4 linked regions of the Neodiprion lecontei genome follow. The protein of the gene in region 1 binds, or shares a complex with, the protein of each later gene. Links are inferred from orthologs where the notes say so. Each region holds a gene or a part of one and is shown in the gene's direction. Other genes may lie near its edges.

Region 1 (5,157 bases):
TTGAATTCTAGTGGAGAACAAGAATTTGTTTGACTCATGAAAACTCGAGAAGTAAACGATGAATGACAAAATTTAATTTCAACTTTAAGGCTATGCGAGAAAATTCGTGCAAAGTAAGTAAACATTCACCCATGAAGATTGTTTCCATTCGCAGGACTCCACTTGCACCAAATATCTGGATTTTTTCTCATTGTTCCATCCCCGCTGCAAGGTACATCAGCAAGAATTCTATCAAACCTGAATGGAATCGAAAAGTGTATTACTCAGATATGCTATTGGAAAGGTATTTCTGAGACAAGTCTATTTACTTTAACTTTTCTGTCGTGCCATCTGGTTTGGCAACATTGAAATTAGGCATTACTGACGAGTCGTGATTTGTAATCAGAATATTTGGGCTGTTCAATCTCTTAGCTTGATGTACCAACATGTAGCACCTGTTGTTGTCCACGTCATTGGCAATTACAAATCCCTCTGTTGACAAGGGACACATGGATAACATTGTAAAAAGTATTAAATTCCACAACTAGCGGTGACAATAGAAATTCAAGAAAAGTAGCAAAACTATTGGTTAATGGAAGGAAAAAAAAAGGCAAAAATGATAAAGCCGACTTGCTACTATTCCTAAAATGACTTGATCTCATTGTGTATAAGCATATATTCACCAGGATGTGGGTTGCTCTCATCAGAATGTATCATTTCAATTAACTGAGCTGTCTTTGAACCTGGTGCAGCACACATGTCGAGAACCTGAAAGATTGCAAACGTTTAGAGTTGATTGAAATGCATTCAGCTGAAGGAATTGGTTTACTTCATAAGTGTATCAGCAAATGATGATAAAATCAAACCTTATGTTGAGGTTTGACTTCCAAAACGAGGGGAGGAATCATGCTCACTACTTCTTGGCGACTTATGTTACCGCTAGCTGTTTCAGCAATCAAAAAATTATGTAGCCTAAAGTATGCCTCAGACCTTCGAATGTCCTTACGAGTCAACTGAAGCTGCCAAGCCAAAGAATCTGGATAAAATGGAAGGCATTTTGGATAAAGTTTTTCTTTCTCTTTGACTTCTTCCTCTTCATTTTCTCGTTTTATATTGATGATCTCATTGAAAAAATCCCCTTTAATTATATCAAGCAGTGCCTTCGTTTCTGCCTTGGAACCAGTTATTCGAAAGGCGGCCGGCAGGTTTTCCCGCATCTTGTTCATAAAAATGTACCATTCTTCGCTAGGAACGATATTTTGGGTTTTGTAATAATTTTCAAAATCAACATTCTCCCTGATTATTTCTTCATAGCATCTCTGCGGCCTTTTATCCCATTCATCTTTGTTCTGCAACAAGTTGATTTAGCTCGTTATAATCTATTTCGAAAATCCATCTGTCACAGCGATTGTAAGTTGCTGTTGGGTAAAAAATGTACAGCTTCCAGAGAAAAGAATTGTCATGTCAAATATTCAATAAAAATTAATTCTAATAGCAACATGCTTGCGGAGGGTAGAAGGATGAATTTTAGTGACATTTGCGGAATTCAATATCGAAATACCGTAAACTTAACCTCCAAATCAAATCAGAAACCGCATCAGTTCTGAAAAATTTTTTACCTTCTGTTTATCGCGGCGTTTTTCAGCAAAATTCTTCTTTGGCCTATATTTTCTACCTTTACCCATTATCACTTGAAATTACTGAAATATACTGCAAGGCCTACCGACTCGCATTAAACCACAGATTCCTATAAGTTGTCTGTGATACGCTGTATTAATGTCACGTGTAAACGGAAACCGCGCGGACACGATCACAGTCACCGATCTCTATTAGTATAGAGTTGTAATCACAGCTTAAACTACCGGGGCCACTAATCGTGAATGCGAGCGATGCGAGTAATGAGAGTACCAATTTGCGTATTCAGCGGTGACGATTTTGGCCACGCTGTTTAAAATCAGTACTCATTGCAGTCGAGTTCGATCTTCTAAACCGTTCAGTAGGTAGTTGGAGGATAGGGAATCTGTGCTATGGTTCGCAACCAGTCATGACTGAACCGTCTTTGAGGAAACAAGGTGTGTTCTTGCGCATCTATTGTCGTTTCGGCTATTGAAAATGTGCCCCCCCACATGACGTCATTTATATCTAACTATAATTATCTGGCGTCATGCAGGGGCTATCACGTGACCTTGCTACTGCGCATCTCTGTTTAAAGCACACGAAGCACACCAAAGAGCACACCGTGTTTCCTTATTTCATAATCAGTGGCGGTTTCGCCTATCGCCGGACGCCGAGACTGGCATTTAAACATAGGCTATGGCCCGAATTATTAAGTTCTTTAAAATTATAAGAAATAATTGGAAAAAATCCACCTTCGCTCTAGCTGCGATATCGTATGGTGGGTCCTATGGCATAGAGTCTTATAAGTGAGTACTTCCTTGCCTGTCAAGCTGGAAGTTATTTCTACCAAACAAACATAACCTTAACGGATTAACCTCTCGATGCTGTTGAAATTAAAATTTCAGCAAAGAGCAGTTGATGCGAAGGTATTGCGAGGATGCGGTCAGATATGGAGATATGCCACTGCCGGTAAATTTAAAACCGCGACACGTTACTGTCATTTTAAATCCAGCGGCTAACAAAAGGTATGTTCAAATTCTATGGTCATATGATTGGTGTGTCAGCGACAAGATTATTTTGATTACTACTAAAGTTTCATGGAAGCACTTCATATAAAATATTTTACTGATCCAGCGATATATAACAACTGCTCCAGATTTCTGGAACCGATATGTAATCATCGTTACCATTTGACGCTGTTGATCTAGAAAAGCAAAGGATTTGTTAGAAAAGTATTGCGCACCACTGCTACACCTTGCTGGAATAGCTGTAACGATCATTCAAACTGAATCTGAGGGCCAAGCACGAAGTATAGTTGAGAATTTGAATTCTCATACAGATGCCATAGTTGTAGCAGGTGGCGATGGGTCATTGTCGGATGTCGTTACTGGGGTGATGCGAAGGTGCAACACCGATGTCGAGATAGTCAAGCAATGCCCAATTGGCATTTTACCTCTCGGGCAGACCAACAATGTCGCAAAATCACTGTTTAATGGATACACAGATTTGCCACAGATACACGCTATGGCTGAAGCTACCATGGCTGTTGTCAGAGGCACTACTAAATTAGTTGATACTATCGAAATTGAGCCTCTTGAGGTAATTAATTAGACCGATCATAGGTCACTTGGTGTTTGCTAATTTTTCATTTTGCGAATTGTTTCTTTTTTTTTTTATCATCAGACCTTAAACTCGGGTAAATTGTAAGTTTTCACAGTGTTTGCTGTTTGAATTTTAGAACATTTATTCTCAATCTTACAGCAAGACCCTGAGAATATTATCAAACCAGTTTATGCAGTGGGCACTGTGGAGTGGGGTGCATGGAGAGACGCAAATGCTAAAGCCAACAAATACTGGTATTGGGGATCACTTCGTAGGTAAACAGTACAATTTTGGTGTATTGTAAATTTCCTGACATGGCCAAAAGCTTATAAGATGAAAAAGTTGCTTCAGCCATGTATTGATTTGCACCAATTGCTAGAACTTCAGTTACAAGTAATCTAATTGCAGGATCCAGTAATTCGGTTGTAATCAACTCTTATATTACAGATATGCAACTTATGTATTCAATGGTTACAAAAGTGACCTCACCTGGGACTGTAGCGCTGATTTACGATACTCAGAACCATGCAACGGGTGCTCTCGTTGTCGCCACAGCAGGCAGAGTAGTCATTCATCTTCCAGTGACAGACGTTGGTGGCATTCTTTTGTTCCAAGGACGAGGAGTGCATCTTTTGGTAATATCGATAGCAATTGTTCTCTAAAAGTATTCTCAGTACCAATCAGATGCACACTTACATAGTACAATAAAAGATAAGTAAAATTTGGCGTAATTAAAAGTTGATATTCATCAATAAATATCGTTTTTAGAAATCGATTATAGTAAGGTGATAAATGAAAAATGTGGATCTCTTCATGAAATTCCAATAGTCACAACCGAGTTGAAAATGATTACCAGTAATCTGGACTCTCCAACCGATCATAGTGTGCCAGCAATTAAAGTCCATTTAGGTGAGTTAAAGTAGCCATTGAATAGCTAAACCTATCATTCAATCTTCACATCAACAAATCCAAAATATTATAACAATCTTCGATCAATAGGTCCAGAAACCGTGAGCTACTTAGATTTTGTTAAGGAAGGATGGAAGCGAGCAGATGGTCACAAAACTGTCAACAAACAAACCATTGAGGCGAAGGATATTGAATTACGACCTCGTGAAACTGTTTCAAAACCGGTGAGTGAATATTTACATCATATTGTTATCCCTACTCGAACTTCCCTTGTGAATTTTAAAAAAGGGAATCGAGAATTTTAACAACTATGCGAAGTCATGTATTGTATTACATATAGTTTAAACCCTGGAATGTTGACATGTGTTAAACGTGAAATGTTTATTACAGGAACAAAGCAAAATGTTTTCCATAGACAATGAAGAATTTGAATTGAAGCCAATCAGAGTTAAATTACTACCAAAAAGTGTAACAATGTTTTGTGCGCAGCCTATGGATAGTGCAGTAAGCTAGTATAAATAAAGAGCTAACAGTACTTTTTGCGCCTTTCTTTTATCCTTTGCATTTAATACCGATGACGGATCATTTCCATCGGTGATTCTGTAAAAGTCTAAAAAATTTGAATATACACCGCCAACCAAAAGTTTGGGTACACCAGTCGAAATTTCTTGCCGCACTAAAAGTTAAATAGCGGACTCAAAAATAAAGATAATCAAACGTTCCAAACAGCGTTTTAAAGAGGACATATTTACCTTTATGTTTGTTTTTTCGAAAATTATTTACAATTTTTCTTGGATCTGGTACGTATTTTTGAACATGGCCGTATTTCCGCCATTCTTTAGTCTCCAACCAACATTTTCGTTCTTCATAAAGTATCGTATGATTTTTTTTCGCCCAAGTATTGAATTTTCAGCTCAAAAAGTTATGTTTTAGAAAAAAGCTGTAATTCAACAATTAGTGGGTTTCAGAGACAATGGCAAGAGGATAAAAAATTGCATAGGTTTACACTCGAGTAAATTGAACTTTGCCAGCATTTGGGGGGGATTTTAA
Region 2 (3,655 bases), on another chromosome or scaffold:
GTGTTTTGAATCACCCGTAATATCTGGTAACACTAAGAGCTCTGGCTCCTTTACCACCAATTTCAGCTCTTTTGAATCGTATGGCACACTTGTACCTCGGAATATCGACAACGTCAACACACTCCACAGCAAGCAAGCAACCGATCTTATAATTGTCAGAATTAATTTTCCAAAGTAGTATATTGGACACCACAGTACGTAGAAAATGCAATTTAGGATGTCCAATAGCTCTACTTTGAGATCTGAAAAAGACAAACTATATTTCCGAAAAGCGAAAAGCTGTAGAGCATTATACTTTTTGAAGGATTTTCCTAACTTTTTTTTTTATTTTCACTACTTGTTGAAATGAAAGAACCTAAGAAATTAACAAGTTATGATAGTTGTCTCTACGTACTGAGAAGTAATGAGAAAAACGGTTTCTCCTTATTTCGATGCTTGCGGTTCTTCTGTTTTTTAAGCAATTCTGAAACAAGAAAAGATAATCATCACTTGGAATTACTATACTTGATGTTTACCAGAGATTAATCTTAAAACCAGAGGTGTATTAATTGGTCTTTATGTGTAATTACCAGTTGGACTTATTTCCAAAGAGGAAACGCGCTGTTTCAAAAGAGCTGCCGGCATTTTTGTCTGAAAAAATTCTTCTCTCATAGATTTTTCAGTCATCCTAGATACCTACAACAAAAAAACATAAACACACCCGTGTATGAAAAACAGACAGAATTAGATGCACAAAGGAATTTCGTGGTCGGAAATTCAATACTTTCACTTAGTTTTGCAGGTAAGTTCTACTTCCATTTTTACCCTGCTTTTTTCCTGTAGCAAGTTCTGAAAATCACATCGAAGCTGAAGAGTGTAAGAGTTAACGCTGAGATTGCTGCGAGAAAATTCATTTTCATGTCCGTTACAATGGTAAAAAGGATCTTGAAGTCCATTGATTCTATCTGTGATAGGCTGAAGTTTTGCGTATCTGCTGCGCACCATGTCTGAAAATAAAAAAAATGAGTCAATGTCTACTCTACTAAGCTATGCATAAAATTGTTCGAGCTGTACGATTCAAAGTTGATTACTTGCACATGTTATTCATGTTGAATTTTCTTCAAATATTGGAAGGGTCGAAACATTCCTAGGCTTCGTTAATTGAGGAATTGAGGAAAAGAAAAATCGTTGAGAAGATTTTAGAAATAAAATAGGGATAAACGCTGTGACATAGAAGACTAGGATAATGTGTCGCAGGTGCTTTAGTTAGAAAATCTAAAGTTATAAATTACCTTTTCCATTAATTCTCTCCATTTTGAAAATTATGTTGATTGAATTGCAGTTAGTCAGAGAAACATGATTGATGAAAATAATCCTTTGTTATTAACACGTAAAATTAAGTCGAGATTGAAATTGATATGACAATTTAAAGTTGAGCAATAATTTGCAATGAATTATGATATGATGACAATTTATTGTTTAACCGTAAGTGTCAAAATCCCATGTATTCAAGAGTGAAGTTAAAATTGAACGTGGGCTCGAAAATAAATGAAGAAAATGAAACAAATAAATAGATCGACTATCGTCCTTGTTCAAAATGTTTAAAGTTAATCCGCGTTCCGCAATGCTTTATGGGAAGTCCCCGCGCTTACCAAACCAGAGCAGACGACTTATTTAATTCACGATAAGAAAGCTAGTAGCCGTATTTTTCCAACTTTACTCAAGCGCGATGCTTTCGCGCCTCGGCTCAATTTATTAATTAATAGGAATTTTTCAACGTCACGTGCTTTGTCATTAACTAAGAACTTATTCTTATTATGGAATTTAAATGAGAGTGACTTTTCAGTGAGCGAAATTCAATCGCCGCACGCTTCGTTGATCAGTAAACTAACTATGGCGGTTCGGATATCCCATTTATTCCGTAATAGATTTAAACAATTTTTTAAAACCTATAGTACAAATTCAGCTGAGATAAGCAAAGCTAAGGATCCTGAAGTGACGGAGCAAGTGAAGGAACGGCTACTAGATCGTTGGGGTAAGAACAGGTCATGTTAATTTTTGTTCGAGGTTAAGTTAGGTTAGGTATTTACAGGTTATATTATATTTATATAAATTTGACGAAGCAATTCACAGAATATAGGGAGATCGGGTGTTAGCTTAGAGTATGCGAACTTGTTCGATAATCATTCGATAATTGTCACCTGTTTTATTTTCATTGTAGCAAAATATTGGAAGAATCTCTTCATTGACTACAGAGATGTGGCTAAGGATGTTGCACAAGGATGTAAGGATCGGCCTATTCGTGCTTCAATCTATTTCTCTCGTAAGTGAAAAATCATATTTCTTAATTTCCCGCAGTGAAACCTGCTGGAATGAGAGACAACTTAGTTTTTTTTTCTTTATCTTTATGATCTTAGATGTATCACTATACTTCTTTGTAAAGGATTCGCAGCTCATAAAAATACATGTTTAAGCCCACTATAGCTGCTCATCATTAGTGCAGATAACACTAATTATTGCAGTGAATCAAACCAAAAATACAAAAGAAAAATATATTTATTTAGAGTCAGAGGAGCCAGTAAATGTTCTGTATTCGGTATGAAATTTTCGTGTGAATTGGTTTATGTTTCAGTTCTAGGCAGTGTATACTACTTTTCACGACACAACCCTAGTCCAGATTCGTACAGAAACATGTTGATAGAAGAATCAAACAAGATGATGATGGTTGGAGAACCAATTCGGAATCGTCAAAGTGTAAGGCATTTGAAATCGATAGAACAGTGCTTCAATGAAGGGATCATACGCAGGTTGAGCTTGGGGATTGTTTCTTTTATATGGTTGGATAACTACGATAAAGAATGTGCTCACTACAAAGCAACATGTTCGTATCTCAAACCACAGTATTTAGGATTTCATCACAGAATAGTTGACATTGGTTTCATGGATAAGTGGTGGCTACTGGAGGACAAAATGACTGATTTTGATATAAATGAAGAGGAATTTAAAAACTTCTCCACTTCGCCAGATAAAATCGGCTCATAATGAGAATATCGAATATTATTGACGGATAAAATTACAAATATTAATTATTATAATAGTATTTATACATATGTACATATAGAAGGTTTATTCATTGAATAAATGTGCCTTCACACACAAGTATGGTAAATTTTTTTAAACTTATATATGCACTATTGATACTTTGGGATCGAAAGCTGGAATTTATTAGAGAATTATATTACAAGATGATGGAAAAAGAACGTGGCGGAATACTGCGCTTGAAAAAGATTCGAATGCTTCGAATTCATTAATTTCTGATAAAGTTGTAAATAATTTACTATTATTGGCCTATTCTGTTAGATCTAATCAAAAACTCGCGTGAAGGTAGTTGAAATGAAAACGTTATTTCAAGATATTTTCAATGAATTGTCCAACTCTCGTCAAAAGTCTCATCTAATTTCATGAACGGTGTAAAAAATCCCAACAGAGTTACCTTCTTATGAGAATATTCATGGTCCATGATCGATTGTGGCAACGGTTGCGCAGCGGGAGATAGAGAGAGGAGAGGAAAGCTGAAGACAAAATAGCTAATGCCGGTTGACAGCCGCAGTGATCCGTGGCTGTTATAAAATTCGGTAAAAGTTCAAGAATTCAAAATCTGGATTCGAAATCGCAT
Region 3 (6,421 bases), on another chromosome or scaffold:
TCAATACCAACAACTTATGGGTCAGCCTCACTGGTAAGCACGGAACACGCTATTCAGAATTTATGAAATTGTTCATTAGCTAGTTTCAATTGCGAACATTATTTCTTGCAGCTATTGAGAGAGTCTTAGAAGAAAAAACACTCAACATGGAAATTATTGTGAATAACAAAAGCTTGAGTAATGGTTTGAACGTTATTCAACTAGAAACAGCTGTAGGTGCAGCTATGAAATCCTTTGATGGAGGTCTTGGTGAGTTCACCCAATACTTGCAGTCAAATAAAATTATGCTAAACTATTTCTTAACTGTACATTAACTCTGTAATAAATACTCTATCCAAGCAAAAAATGCCAACCATTTGAAAGTTTCAAACAAATTCCTTAACTGTTTCGAAAAATCTTTATAGAAATTTAGACTACTTTCATATAATGCTAATTTTTTAATTTTTTTTTTTCTCTGATCTATAGGCATCAACGTACCACGTAGCAGATTCTTACCTGTGAAAAAGACCTCTGATCTCATGTTGGTGATGAGTAACTTATACAGTTTACGCAAAGGAGCTCTCCTCATGAGTCCCCAGCGGATGTTTCCAACTACTCCACTCATCAAACTTGGCGATAATCACTTTTCAAAGGTGCTATTATTATCTCATAAGATAGCTGTCTATGTGAGCTATATTTTAAATTTAACAGTTCTCTAAAAGTGAGGAACAAATTACAAGTCTATTAAAACCAGGAATCAATACGTAATTGATTCACAAATACCAACGTTTATGACGTTTGTGCCCAGATTATTGTTAGCTAATTAGAATAATACTTGAAGCATTGAAATACCATAATCGACGCAAGGTTGTGATGCTCGCGGAAAATTGTATTTTTTTCATTTGTTCCGCACGTGTTGCAAGCTTTGTTACTTTAGGAATTCTATAAGAGATAAACCAATAATCCTGATTACACTTCACGTATTCTAATTATTATTAATTTTTTCAGGTAAAAGAGTATCTACGTAGGTTTGCCTCAATCCCAGATCTCTTAGAACTGGATCATCTAACTGTATCCGGCGATGTTACATTTGGAAAAGGAGTTTCTCTCAAAGGCACAGTTATTATTATAGCAAATCATGGAGACCGTATCGACATACCTTCGGGAACTATTTTAGAAAATAAAATTGTATCCGGAAATCTACGTATTTTGGATCATTAGTTTATGGTATATCAAGTTTGTTCATCACATGCACAAAGTCTTGTGTGTGGGTGTATATATATATATACATATACACTAGGCCTAAGATTAGCAAAAAAATGTGTACAAAATGTGTAATGATAATTAATTATACCCTCGCTGAATAAGTTTTAGTGGTCTAATTTTATTCGTTACTTATTGTTGCAATTTGTAAGTTTAGCTTTATCTTATTATATGTATATGTATAGTATTTATGTACATATACAAAATTTAAGAATGAAAATATTAACTCAGAGATCATCGGAAGCACTAATTCTGAACACTTGAATGGACATTAAAAATACCACATACAGGCAAGATATTACTTATAATGAAAAAACAAAATCGGAATAATATTTACTGTAAATTCCTTGTATTCCAATTTCTTACGTGCTTTGGAACATACAAATGTTATTTCAACGAAAAATTGCCGTCATGAATATCCAGGTGCAAACTTCAGGGCCCAAGTCGTTCCGATTCACTGGATGTTTCATCGGGTTGTTAGCATGAACACTTAGCATGTGTATGTTTGTAACTGCAGTGGCGTATTCATCTAGAAATATGTTCTTCGTGAGTAATAGACAGAAATTTCTAGTATTTTTAATATTTGTTTGTTGTACATACATACATACGTAAAATTCAACTTCGCTCTATTTCTCTGCTATCCGTATATTGGCTTATAAACTCCCCCGATTTTGATTCCTTTTTTCTGTGGATAACTACAACGTCTGACCAGGTTTTAAGACATATTTTGTTACAACCAGATCGATCGTTTTGAAGATATAACAATATTTGTAAGCTAAGTCTGAACGGGATCATACACTTGTGAAAGCTCTGATTAAACTCTTATATGGAGGAAAGTTAGGCTCAAGAGTTTTCAAAAATCTCTATGAGCTTCACAATGGTTATGTCTTATAATCTCGCCACAAAAAGCATTTAAAAATATTAGCGGGCGGAGCCGTAACGGGAAGAGGGATATTATTTAAAAATTGTGCACACATATAGCGCGTTCAAATTTCCCATGCAACAGACGAAACCAGCGCTGCGCGGCGTTATCGGTACTACGAATTTCCAACCAAATGTGTCTCACGTTTGCCGTCGAAAAGAGTACGGAGTTATGTCTCCTTTCCTTTTCCTACTTGTTGAAAATGCTCACGCAGAAAATCAGGACAGTGAGTTATGTATGTAGGTTATGTTGCATGACGAGAATTCCGTTCATGAATTTAAATCTCAAGACTCATTATTATTTGTAATTCATAATTTAGTAGTGGAGGCCGTGATAAATTTATTCACCAAAACATGGATTTAAGGGAGATAAGAAATGTTTGTATTTTCTGTTATAATTTGTCATCAATTGAATGCTGCTTCTATTTACTTCATAAGCAATTCTTATCGCGCTCTACCATAACACAGAATTGACATTATTTGAATAATTTTTATTGCAGTTCAAGGATTTCCTTACGCTCTACAATCAAATATCTGACACATGCTTCAAACGATGTACAAATACATACAATTCCAGAGACATGGATGTGGATGAGGTGAGATGATCGATCGGTGAATGTTTTCTGAATTTTGGATAAGATTCAGATTTCAGTTCTTTTTACACCATATAAAAATACTTGCAGCTTTCCAATATTATGTATATTCATTACACATACATATCTTTGCAGCATGTATTGAGAATAACTATTTATTTGTAATGCCATAGGAAGCTTGTGTAAATAACTGTGCCCAGAAGCATGTAAAAGCGAATACCAAAATGATGAAAGTCTATATGGAGGTACTACCTGTTTTAATGAATAAAAGGACAGAAGAAATGAATGCTGCTCAAGCTGCAGCTATGGCACAGCAGCAACAACTGCAGCAAGACACCCAAGACACAGAAACTAGTCAAAATTTACGACAAAGTCAGCCACTGGTCTGACCCACAATTTAGCCTTTCGTTTTATGTTATTTAATATTTTATATTACATTATTTTATAATATGATATATTTATTTTACTTTATGCTGTTCACCTTTTCAATATTGTCAGGGTGTGTTATGTTGCTCAGCTGTTCCTTGTTTGGCAATAGGGTCAAAATAAGATTGCTTTGAGCCTCTTTGTCATACTGATTGTTGGTACAGGTCTTTTATGATTCAAGGATTCCTTAAGGACCAGCATTTTTCAATTCATGGCTCTCCTTATTATGCGCTTCGTAATGGCAGTCATTTGAAACAGATATCCTCTCAGGAACGTCTTTCTTACAGCAAGCTGGTAGCAGCAAGATTGTTTTGCAAGCAATATGTAATACGTCTTCCTCCTGTTGTATGCAGCGGTTGGGAGTGTAATCATAGTTAACTACTCTGTAAATATTTTCAACGTATAAAAACTGAATTTGTTCATTCAACCTTTGCATTGTGTAATTGTATGTACATATTTTTCTTACCATATTCTCTGGTTCTTTGCATTTCAGATTTTGAGAATGAGTGAATGGCAAAAGTACAAGTATTCAGTTTATTAGATTTTCTACATAAGTTGTGATATATCATCTTGCTAAGATTGGAAATCAAAATGTAAACAAAGCAAAGACCAGTTTCGTCTTAATTAATACATATTTGCAAGGAACATTGAATATTATAACATTACTTTTCAAGTGATTCTAGGTAAGTAATTAGTTGAAATTTTTCAGTCTGACCATCCTACTGTTAAAAAATAATAAGCCAATTAGTTTAAATAATAATACAGGGCCGTACATATTACATAAGCATTGATTTATTATTGAAAATGTGTGTATATACAGAATACGGTATGTATGTATATGTATATATACGAATAATATTATTACAGTTTTGTTATAATATCAGAACACGACTACAATATATTGCCTCAATACACTGTTTTAAAGTTTAACGGTTCTCTGTCGTCAATTTGCTAAAAATTATAGCATGAACCAAGCAAAATGATATTGTTGCATTTGAAAGTAATAGTGTTTTAAAATTTTAAAATGCTCACACAAGCTTGTAGTAAATATCATTTTGATTGTTCAATTCAAACGTCAAAATATCTCTAAGATCTGACGTAATAACATACTGCTTTCTGAAACTACTACTTTCCCCCATTTTTTTTTTTTTTTTTTCGACATTGTCACAGATTCACATCTAAAGCTGTCACAAATACTGGTGTGGAACACTAACAGTTTTAAAACCCATGTGACAGCAGACGTGGTTACACAAATTACTATATGTGCAATGGTCTACATAATGTACCTGTGATGTGTATGAGATCAGCGACATTTCAGTCTGTACATCAAGTAATCGTAATTAGGAATGCAACTTTACATTTTTTCTTAGCAAAGCAAATTCAATTGAAATCGCGTAAATTACAGATAGGAATCTATTGCATGTAACAAAAGGGGACCGATTAAAAAACCAGGTATATCGAGTGCTTCAATGATTTAGAAACATTATTCTTTTGACGTACTTGTAATTTCCATCACTCAAGCATTTATTTCTCGTATTTCATGAATAATTGCGTTGCCATGTTAAAGGAATGAATTTAATGTGTATGGCATTGATATACAAATTGGTTTCACGATATTAGAATCACTTCTTTACCTGCCAAAATGTGAATGAATAAATTAACTTCACATGCCTATGAAAATAATAAATAATTATTATTTGCCTGCAAATCTATAAGTACTCGAAATTACTTAAAATATTTTTTATAAGCTCGCCCATTTGCATTCACATACCTGTAATGCAGTGTTAAAATTAAACTTAATAAGCGTTTGATTTTTTATATAAATATCCTATACAGCACTCCTACTGGTAATGGAAAGTATATAAATAAAAATTAACAATCATTAAAAATATAAAAAATCACAGGAGTTAGCAGACTAATTTTTGACAACACATACTCATCAGCAATATTAGCATTTTTACCCAAAATATATGAGTATATTTTGTATTTGTATTGTCTACTTATATTGTCAAGTGACAAGTTATTCAAATACACTTATGTATATATAACAGGCCTAATCACAAGTTTCGTACTCCAGTAAACAATATTGTGTACTTTTTTAATAGATTTTGTTCTCTTTTTCTGATTATAAGTAAATATAAACGATTTTTTTCTAAACGAAATTTCAGTTCTGATTATGTACAAATACAGACGTATTTGCATTCTTGTCTACAAAGTTGATATCCGCAATTTTATCGTGTCAACCATTGCCATATGAGTGCTGTAGTATATTTTTATTCATTAAATAGTAAAGCTGGGTGAAAAATTAAAGCAGGATAATCAACGTTGCAAAACTTCTGTACTCAAATTCATTTTTCCCATCTATATTACTCTTGTATAAGTATGTCATTGTCTCAGCCGAATTTTATTTTCTATTTTTCAGTAAATATCCTAATATTTAATGACTAGGCCCTATTTTAACATGTACTTTCGAATCTACCAACGATTCTATCTAATCTTATCGACGTAAGTTTCTCAATTTTTTTTTTTCGTAAATAAAATGTACCACATTCAACTACTTAACTAATTAAAGGTGAATACCGTGTGGAATACATATGAAGCTCTCGGGTCTTCATTTAATAGTCCGGTCAATTTAGACATTTCGAATCACAATAATTCCGACAGAGCTGAACTTTGGTAGAGACCTTGGGTTTACCATTATAAAGAAAGATAAAAAATTCCCCATCGATACCATGTGTGCTAAAAAAGTTATTCAAGGTCAAAGGTCAAAATTTTTGGTTTTTTCGATTTTTCTCGTTAACGGTTAATTTTATCAAAAAAATAGCTTAAACCAAAATTGTAGATCATAAAATTATCCACAAAAATGGTCTCTATACTTTTTTTTCCTAAGAATCATCATTTCTGAGATATCGCGATTCTGAAAGTCGAACGAGTTACATTCTATATAATATGCACGCATATTATATATGTCACGGATATACATAGTATATGTATAGTATATACAGTGTATATATAGTATATATTATAATATATATGTATAGTATATACACTGATATAGTTAGAATATATACAGTATATATTAGACTGCCTAAGAAAGAAAAAACAATTTTTTTTTTCGATCTCCGGCTTCATGAAATCGTAGTTTATAACATAATATTGAACCTCGTGAAAGGAAATCGCCGTGCGATTTTTTTAAGAGGTGCGACATCGAGATTTTGTAATTCCCATTTGATTAATAC
Region 4 (4,882 bases), about 8.2 Mb from region 1:
CGAGTTTCACGAGGTAGGACACCCGGAGTGCAGAAACTACAGAACTCTTGTCCTGGAACTCGAGTTTCATCAGGTGGTACACCTCGAGCGCAGAAACTACGGAGCGCTCGTCCTGGAAGTCGAGTTCTACCAGGTAGCGGACCTGGCGCGCAAAAACTACGTAGCGCTTGTCCCTGAAGTCAAGTTGTACCAGGTAGCCGACCTGGAACGCACAAACTACGAGCGCTAGTCCCTGAAGTCGAATTTCAACAGGTAGCGGACATGAGCGCAGGCACCGCGGAGCGCTTGTCCTGGAACTCGAGTGGCACCAGGAAACGGACCTGGAGCGCAGAAACCACCGAGCGCTTGTCTTGGAAGTCGAGTTTGACCAGGTAGCCGACCCGGAGCGCAGGATCCAGGAGACAGAGAACCCGGTACTCGAAATCTGCTGAGCGCAATTCTCATACGTCCGCTCTACCGCGCGGTTGTTTCCAGACTGAGGAATTCGGCTAGCTGATTTTCGATCGATGACGTCGAGAAAAAAAAATTTTGGGTGACGTCACTTTCTGATCATCCCAACATGCATACTTTGGTTTCGAACTTCAGTACTGTGTATGATGTATGTTGTATAACGTATGGTTCATGATGTACGATGTATGATGTATGGTGTTTGATGTATGATGATATGAGATGATCTATAATGATTTCAGTTTACACATTTTAGACAAGCAATACGCACTTCATTTCTTCTGCTGATTTTAGACTCAAGCGGCTAGGCTCTTTGATGGTCAGCCTTCGACCAAAGATATATTCTTCAATTAACGGGTCAGCTAATAACGCCGCCGTTCTGTAACAGTTGGATGATAGAATCTTTTGCTCGTGCCTTTCAAATGTGTGTTCAAATACACTCGAAACTTGACCAAGCTCCGTTCCATCTCTTTCTATCAACAACAAAAATCGCTGAGAATCACCGTTTTAGGTATTCAAATTAGGACACTGTATTAAATACTGTCTTATATACGGAGGATTCATTTCATCATCAAAATCAGCGCATCCGAGATGCATTACAGTTATTCTGAATTCTTCTCCGTACGAACACTTTTCGAAAACAATTCTGCTTTTCTAGCCAACGTAGATACTTCACTTGCGACTAGCTAAAACAGTGTTTCGATTCTATGCCTACGAAAGCTCAATATTGATACACCAAATGAAAAGTAGTTCGAATTATGAATAACAATGTTATGGAATACACCGAGCGCGTGTCGAATGGAATCTCATTTCGAAATGAATAAGTCTTTTATTCACATATTACAGTCGTATCATTGTAGATAATCTAATTTGTCTCCTGGAAAATTATAAAATTCATAGTATGCACCGCGTAATAATCGTAAATGGATCACATATATCAATATCGCACGTGGACCGTATATACATACATACTTTTTGGTCTCTGCATTATTATTACATCTGACCTATTACTATTTATGATCTATGTATACATTCTCCTCTCGGGTACCTATACTTTAATTAAATCACTGTTTTGCTACAAATTTTGAAAGAAATTTGCACTGATCATTAATTCCTCGTATTGCCAACCAATCAGTAAGTACACACAGGCTACGTACTGGCTTGGGCGTACCATTGCGAAGACTGTGATACTCTGAAGGTGAATGCAGCCAGCATCATGTCGAAATCGGTAACTCTCTGATGTTCTGCAGCAAGTTCTCAACTCTACCGTAGGAACGTCTCAGGGGGCGCAAGCGCATGACGATTTTCGGTTGTCATACCAAAGCCCTCAAAGCCCATTAGGGCAACTGTCTTTATATTCTTCAGTCAACGACCAAACCAAGCCCTAACCTCCAAAATATGTATTTCCGAATTGTAATGTGCCTCACGTAGTTTGACTAATTTCTAAAAGAAGAGTGTTAAATTTCGCATATCCCAGTGCGCAATAATCGCAAAGAGATGTTTTCCTTCAACCCACCCAAGCCGCCACCGACTCCCGAAGGAGATAAGAGAGTATTTATGAATGATCCTGACATGGATAAAATAGCCGTTCATTTGGTCGGCACTCAACAACGTTTCAGAGAGAATATCATTATACCTAGAGTGATGGGTCCCGTCAGGATAAAAACGAACGACGAGAAACTCATGGAGTCTGTCATGGAGAGCTGCATCTTCAAAAGCTTCATGAGTTGCGTTATGGGTATGTAGTTTTTCGTTAGCAATGGTTGCGCTAATCCCGTCACCTGTAGGTAAAATGGAAGATTACTTAGGATTGAAAAATAAAGTGCATATCTTGATCCTGATCTATAAGTGGTCACGCACATGAAGTTTTCCTAATCTCAAGAATACACATCACTGACTCATGATGAATTATGTCGATAGGCTACGGTCTTGGTGCAGCTATCGGTCTATTTTCTTCCAGTGTAAATCCAAACGTTGCTAGCGTAGAAAAACAGCAAACAGCACGTGAAATATTCAAAGAAATGAAGATGACGACACTTGGATATGCCAAAAACTTTGCTGTTGTAGGATGTGTATTCTCAGCCGTTGAATGTACCATAGAAACAGTAAGATTTACGTTATAGCACTAACAATAATTTGACTTATTCTCCAGTTGGTAATTTGATTACTTTTCGGAATGTTATTGTACTCCCTATTTCTACTTGAAAGATCATATATGAATCTGGTTGGAATGGTATAATGACCCTTACTTTTTAGTACAGGGGAAAGTCTGACTGGCGAAACGGCAGTTATGCTGGTGGTGTGACAGGTGGACTTATCGGTCTTAGAGGTAAGTTAGACTGATTTACACCCTTGATCATTGCATATACTCAGATTTTTTTTGATTTTTCTAAGATTGTGATGCCTCAAACCTGTTGTTACACTACAATAAAATTTCACGTTTTAAAATCCAATCGCTCAAACCCAAGTTGGTTTAAAGATTCTCTTATACCTATTCGAAATTAAACATATACTTGAAAAACTACTTCTTTACACATTATTTTCAAATAAAATCTCTCAAAATGCAGAACAAATCTGTCATACATTTGTACAAAATTAGCGAAACTTATAATACACGTATTATAAAATTACAATGTCATTGTCAAACTTAAAACAGTTAAAACTTCGTGATTTATTATTTTACCTAATATTTTTAGCTGGACTGAAAGCGGGTCTTGTTGGTGCTGCGGGTTTTGCAGCATTTTCAACAGCGATAGATTACTATATGCATAAATCTTGAATTTTTTAGACAAAATTAAATTATTTATTGTATAATACTTGTTAACTGTAAATAATATGCAAGAATAGTGTAATAAAAGCTGAATAAGTAATTTTTATGTCAATAATATATATTTTTTTCAAATTAAAATATAGAGAAGATCAAAATTTTACACAGGATAAGACTTAATTATTAGATTAAAATCACTTGGCTTGACGAAGGAGTTGTAAATATCTGTTAATCTATAATAAAATAGTTCATATACATTTTTCTTGCATTAAAATTTCTTACACACTTACGGTATCTACCTACTTAAAGATTTTCAAAATAGTTGACAATTCCTTGATCAAACTTCACTTTCTCAATGCCAATAAAAATGATATTAGGGTAATATGCCTCCTAATAAAGGTGAGGAATAATAAAAGGCTTTCACTTAGAAAATACAATTGTATAAAGCCGAAAAATTCCACTTAAATACAGATGAAAAAAGTATTATATGTAGATCAGTACAGAGTAAATGCGTTGTCACAACGAACAATTAAACCTATTTTATTTATAGAAAATATATACTCTTCTCTCATATTCGAAATTCGCCATTACCTAATACGATTCTAATTGCTTGTTAACATTCAGGAATTTGCAATACCTAAAACTGGCAGTATATTTAATCATAACTTTGATATGAGGAAATTTTGTACGAATTATGAGATTTTTTTAACTTCATATCGCACATACAATATGGAACGTATTTCAACATAGAAAACATAAATATCGCGCGGATATGTGATATTGTTATTAACATTGCAAGCAAAAACTAATGGGTATCTTTATACCTTTAGTATAAGAAATTCACTAATCTTCTTGTCAGGAATGGCTTGATATTGTCATATTTATTCTACCTCGAAAAGTTTTTTTTGAAATTAATTTTCACTAAATAATTATGTAAAAGTGCGGGTTGTGCAGAACAAGTTGGCTAAAATGATACACATTTCGTTTAAAAAAAAAATACTGCAAGGCACTCTTCATATTTCTCTTTACAATGCACACAGATATGTAAGTAACAAATGTTTTTGTGTCTTGGTTATTTTGTTTTTTTGGTTTAGCTTCTATCACTCAATATGCACGTCCCACAGCACATAAACATTCACAATTAAAAAATTATAAACTATGATGAGAAGTAAAAAAATTGTACTACGTCCTATGAATTGGTGGTAAAATAAAATCGATTCTGATTTGGAATTTCGGAATGGCAAATTCCAAAATTAATACCAATTATTGGACCACTCCTTTTTACGAATCAAAATTTAAGACAGTACTGTAGTTTCTTTCGACTTTTGGCACCTGGCAAGATGGAGATTTTATCCTCAAGATGTATTTAAATATTCTTCAATTCTAAGGTTGTTGTTGTTGCATTTGGGCCTGCATTTGAGCCACCATTTCCTGCATGCGTCGTAATTCCGCTTCCTTTTCTTGTAAAATACGGTCTTTTTCGCTCACAGTATTCGTCTTTTCTGACTCTATAATCCTGTGAGTTGAAAATAATTCGGCCAATTATAAAATAATTCAAGCAAAAAAAAATTATAAACCACTAGTGTATAAATATATTGATCATGAAATTCATAGACTTCTCAGGGTCAAACCATTGGGTGACATACGTTTGACGTCTCGGTGGCGCAG

Evidence for each region.
Region 2: the proteins of acylglycerol kinase, mitochondrial (region 1) and mitochondrial import inner membrane translocase subunit Tim29 are in contact, whole or in part, in a cryo-EM structure (PDB 7CGP), measured with the Homo sapiens proteins. The link is inferred for Neodiprion lecontei from reciprocal best matches to the Homo sapiens genes AGK and TIMM29. Residues at the interface, in NP_060708.1 of Homo sapiens: His33, Asn36, Arg39, Arg40, Cys43, Gln44, Gln47, Asn51, Lys82, Pro86, His89, Leu90; in NP_612367.1 of Homo sapiens: Tyr145, Gln146, Cys149, Arg150, Tyr151, Leu152, Gln153, Arg155.
Region 3: acylglycerol kinase, mitochondrial (region 1) and mitochondrial import inner membrane translocase subunit Tim10 B share a complex: the UniProt entries of both Homo sapiens proteins name them as parts of the TIM22 complex. The link is inferred for Neodiprion lecontei from reciprocal best matches to the Homo sapiens genes AGK and TIMM10B.
Region 4: acylglycerol kinase, mitochondrial (region 1) and mitochondrial import inner membrane translocase subunit Tim22 share a complex: the UniProt entries of both Homo sapiens proteins name them as parts of the TIM22 complex. The link is inferred for Neodiprion lecontei from reciprocal best matches to the Homo sapiens genes AGK and TIMM22.

What each region holds. Positions count from the first base shown.
Region 1 is NC_060262.1:42,239,652-42,244,808, forward strand, and holds acylglycerol kinase, mitochondrial, read left to right. Parts: upstream 1-1,913; 5' UTR 1,914-2,292; coding exon 2,293-2,402; intron 2,403-2,501; coding exon 2,502-2,621; intron 2,622-2,804; coding exon 2,805-3,195; intron 3,196-3,357; coding exon 3,358-3,473; intron 3,474-3,645; coding exon 3,646-3,833; intron 3,834-3,966; coding exon 3,967-4,107; intron 4,108-4,197; coding exon 4,198-4,331; intron 4,332-4,497; coding exon 4,498-4,620; 3' UTR 4,621-4,642; downstream 4,643-5,157. Other genes in the region: tRNA (cytosine(34)-C(5))-methyltransferase, read right to left, coding at 1-7, 130-237, 309-471, 663-747, 846-1,328, 1,599-1,664. UniProt on the Homo sapiens protein: Lipid kinase that can phosphorylate both monoacylglycerol and diacylglycerol to form lysophosphatidic acid (LPA) and phosphatidic acid (PA), respectively. Does not phosphorylate sphingosine. Phosphorylates ceramide.
Region 2 is NC_060264.1:30,477,109-30,480,763, forward strand, and holds mitochondrial import inner membrane translocase subunit Tim29, read left to right. Parts: upstream 1-1,679; 5' UTR 1,680-1,872; coding exon 1,873-2,014; intron 2,015-2,200; coding exon 2,201-2,302; intron 2,303-2,611; coding exon 2,612-3,021; 3' UTR 3,022-3,138; downstream 3,139-3,655. Other genes in the region: uncharacterized protein LOC124294430, read right to left, coding at 1-242, 395-463, 570-675, 805-986, 1,272-1,293. UniProt on the Homo sapiens protein: Component of the TIM22 complex, a complex that mediates the import and insertion of multi-pass transmembrane proteins into the mitochondrial inner membrane.
Region 3 is NC_060263.1:26,786,742-26,793,162, forward strand, and holds mitochondrial import inner membrane translocase subunit Tim10 B, read left to right. Parts: upstream 1-1,998; 5' UTR 1,999-2,297; coding exon 2,298-2,399; exon of another isoform or gene 2,400-2,517; coding exon of another isoform or gene 2,518-2,541; intron 2,542-2,663; coding exon 2,664-2,759; intron 2,760-2,929; coding exon 2,930-3,145; 3' UTR 3,146-5,915; downstream 5,916-6,421. Other genes in the region: UTP--glucose-1-phosphate uridylyltransferase, read left to right, coding at 1-33, 112-249, 466-632, 988-1,200. UniProt on the Homo sapiens protein: Component of the TIM22 complex, a complex that mediates the import and insertion of multi-pass transmembrane proteins into the mitochondrial inner membrane.
Region 4 is NC_060262.1:34,056,454-34,061,335, reverse strand, and holds mitochondrial import inner membrane translocase subunit Tim22, read left to right. Parts: upstream 1-1,679; 5' UTR 1,680-1,842; coding exon 1,843-1,843; exon of another isoform or gene 1,844-1,924; coding exon 1,925-2,185; intron 2,186-2,367; coding exon 2,368-2,552; intron 2,553-2,703; coding exon 2,704-2,776; intron 2,777-3,143; coding exon 3,144-3,226; 3' UTR 3,227-4,348; downstream 4,349-4,882. Other genes in the region: uncharacterized protein LOC124293463, read right to left, coding at 1-70; septin-1, read right to left, coding at 4,598-4,730, 4,861-4,882. UniProt on the Homo sapiens protein: Essential core component of the TIM22 complex, a complex that mediates the import and insertion of multi-pass transmembrane proteins into the mitochondrial inner membrane. In the TIM22 complex, it constitutes the voltage-activated and signal-gated channel.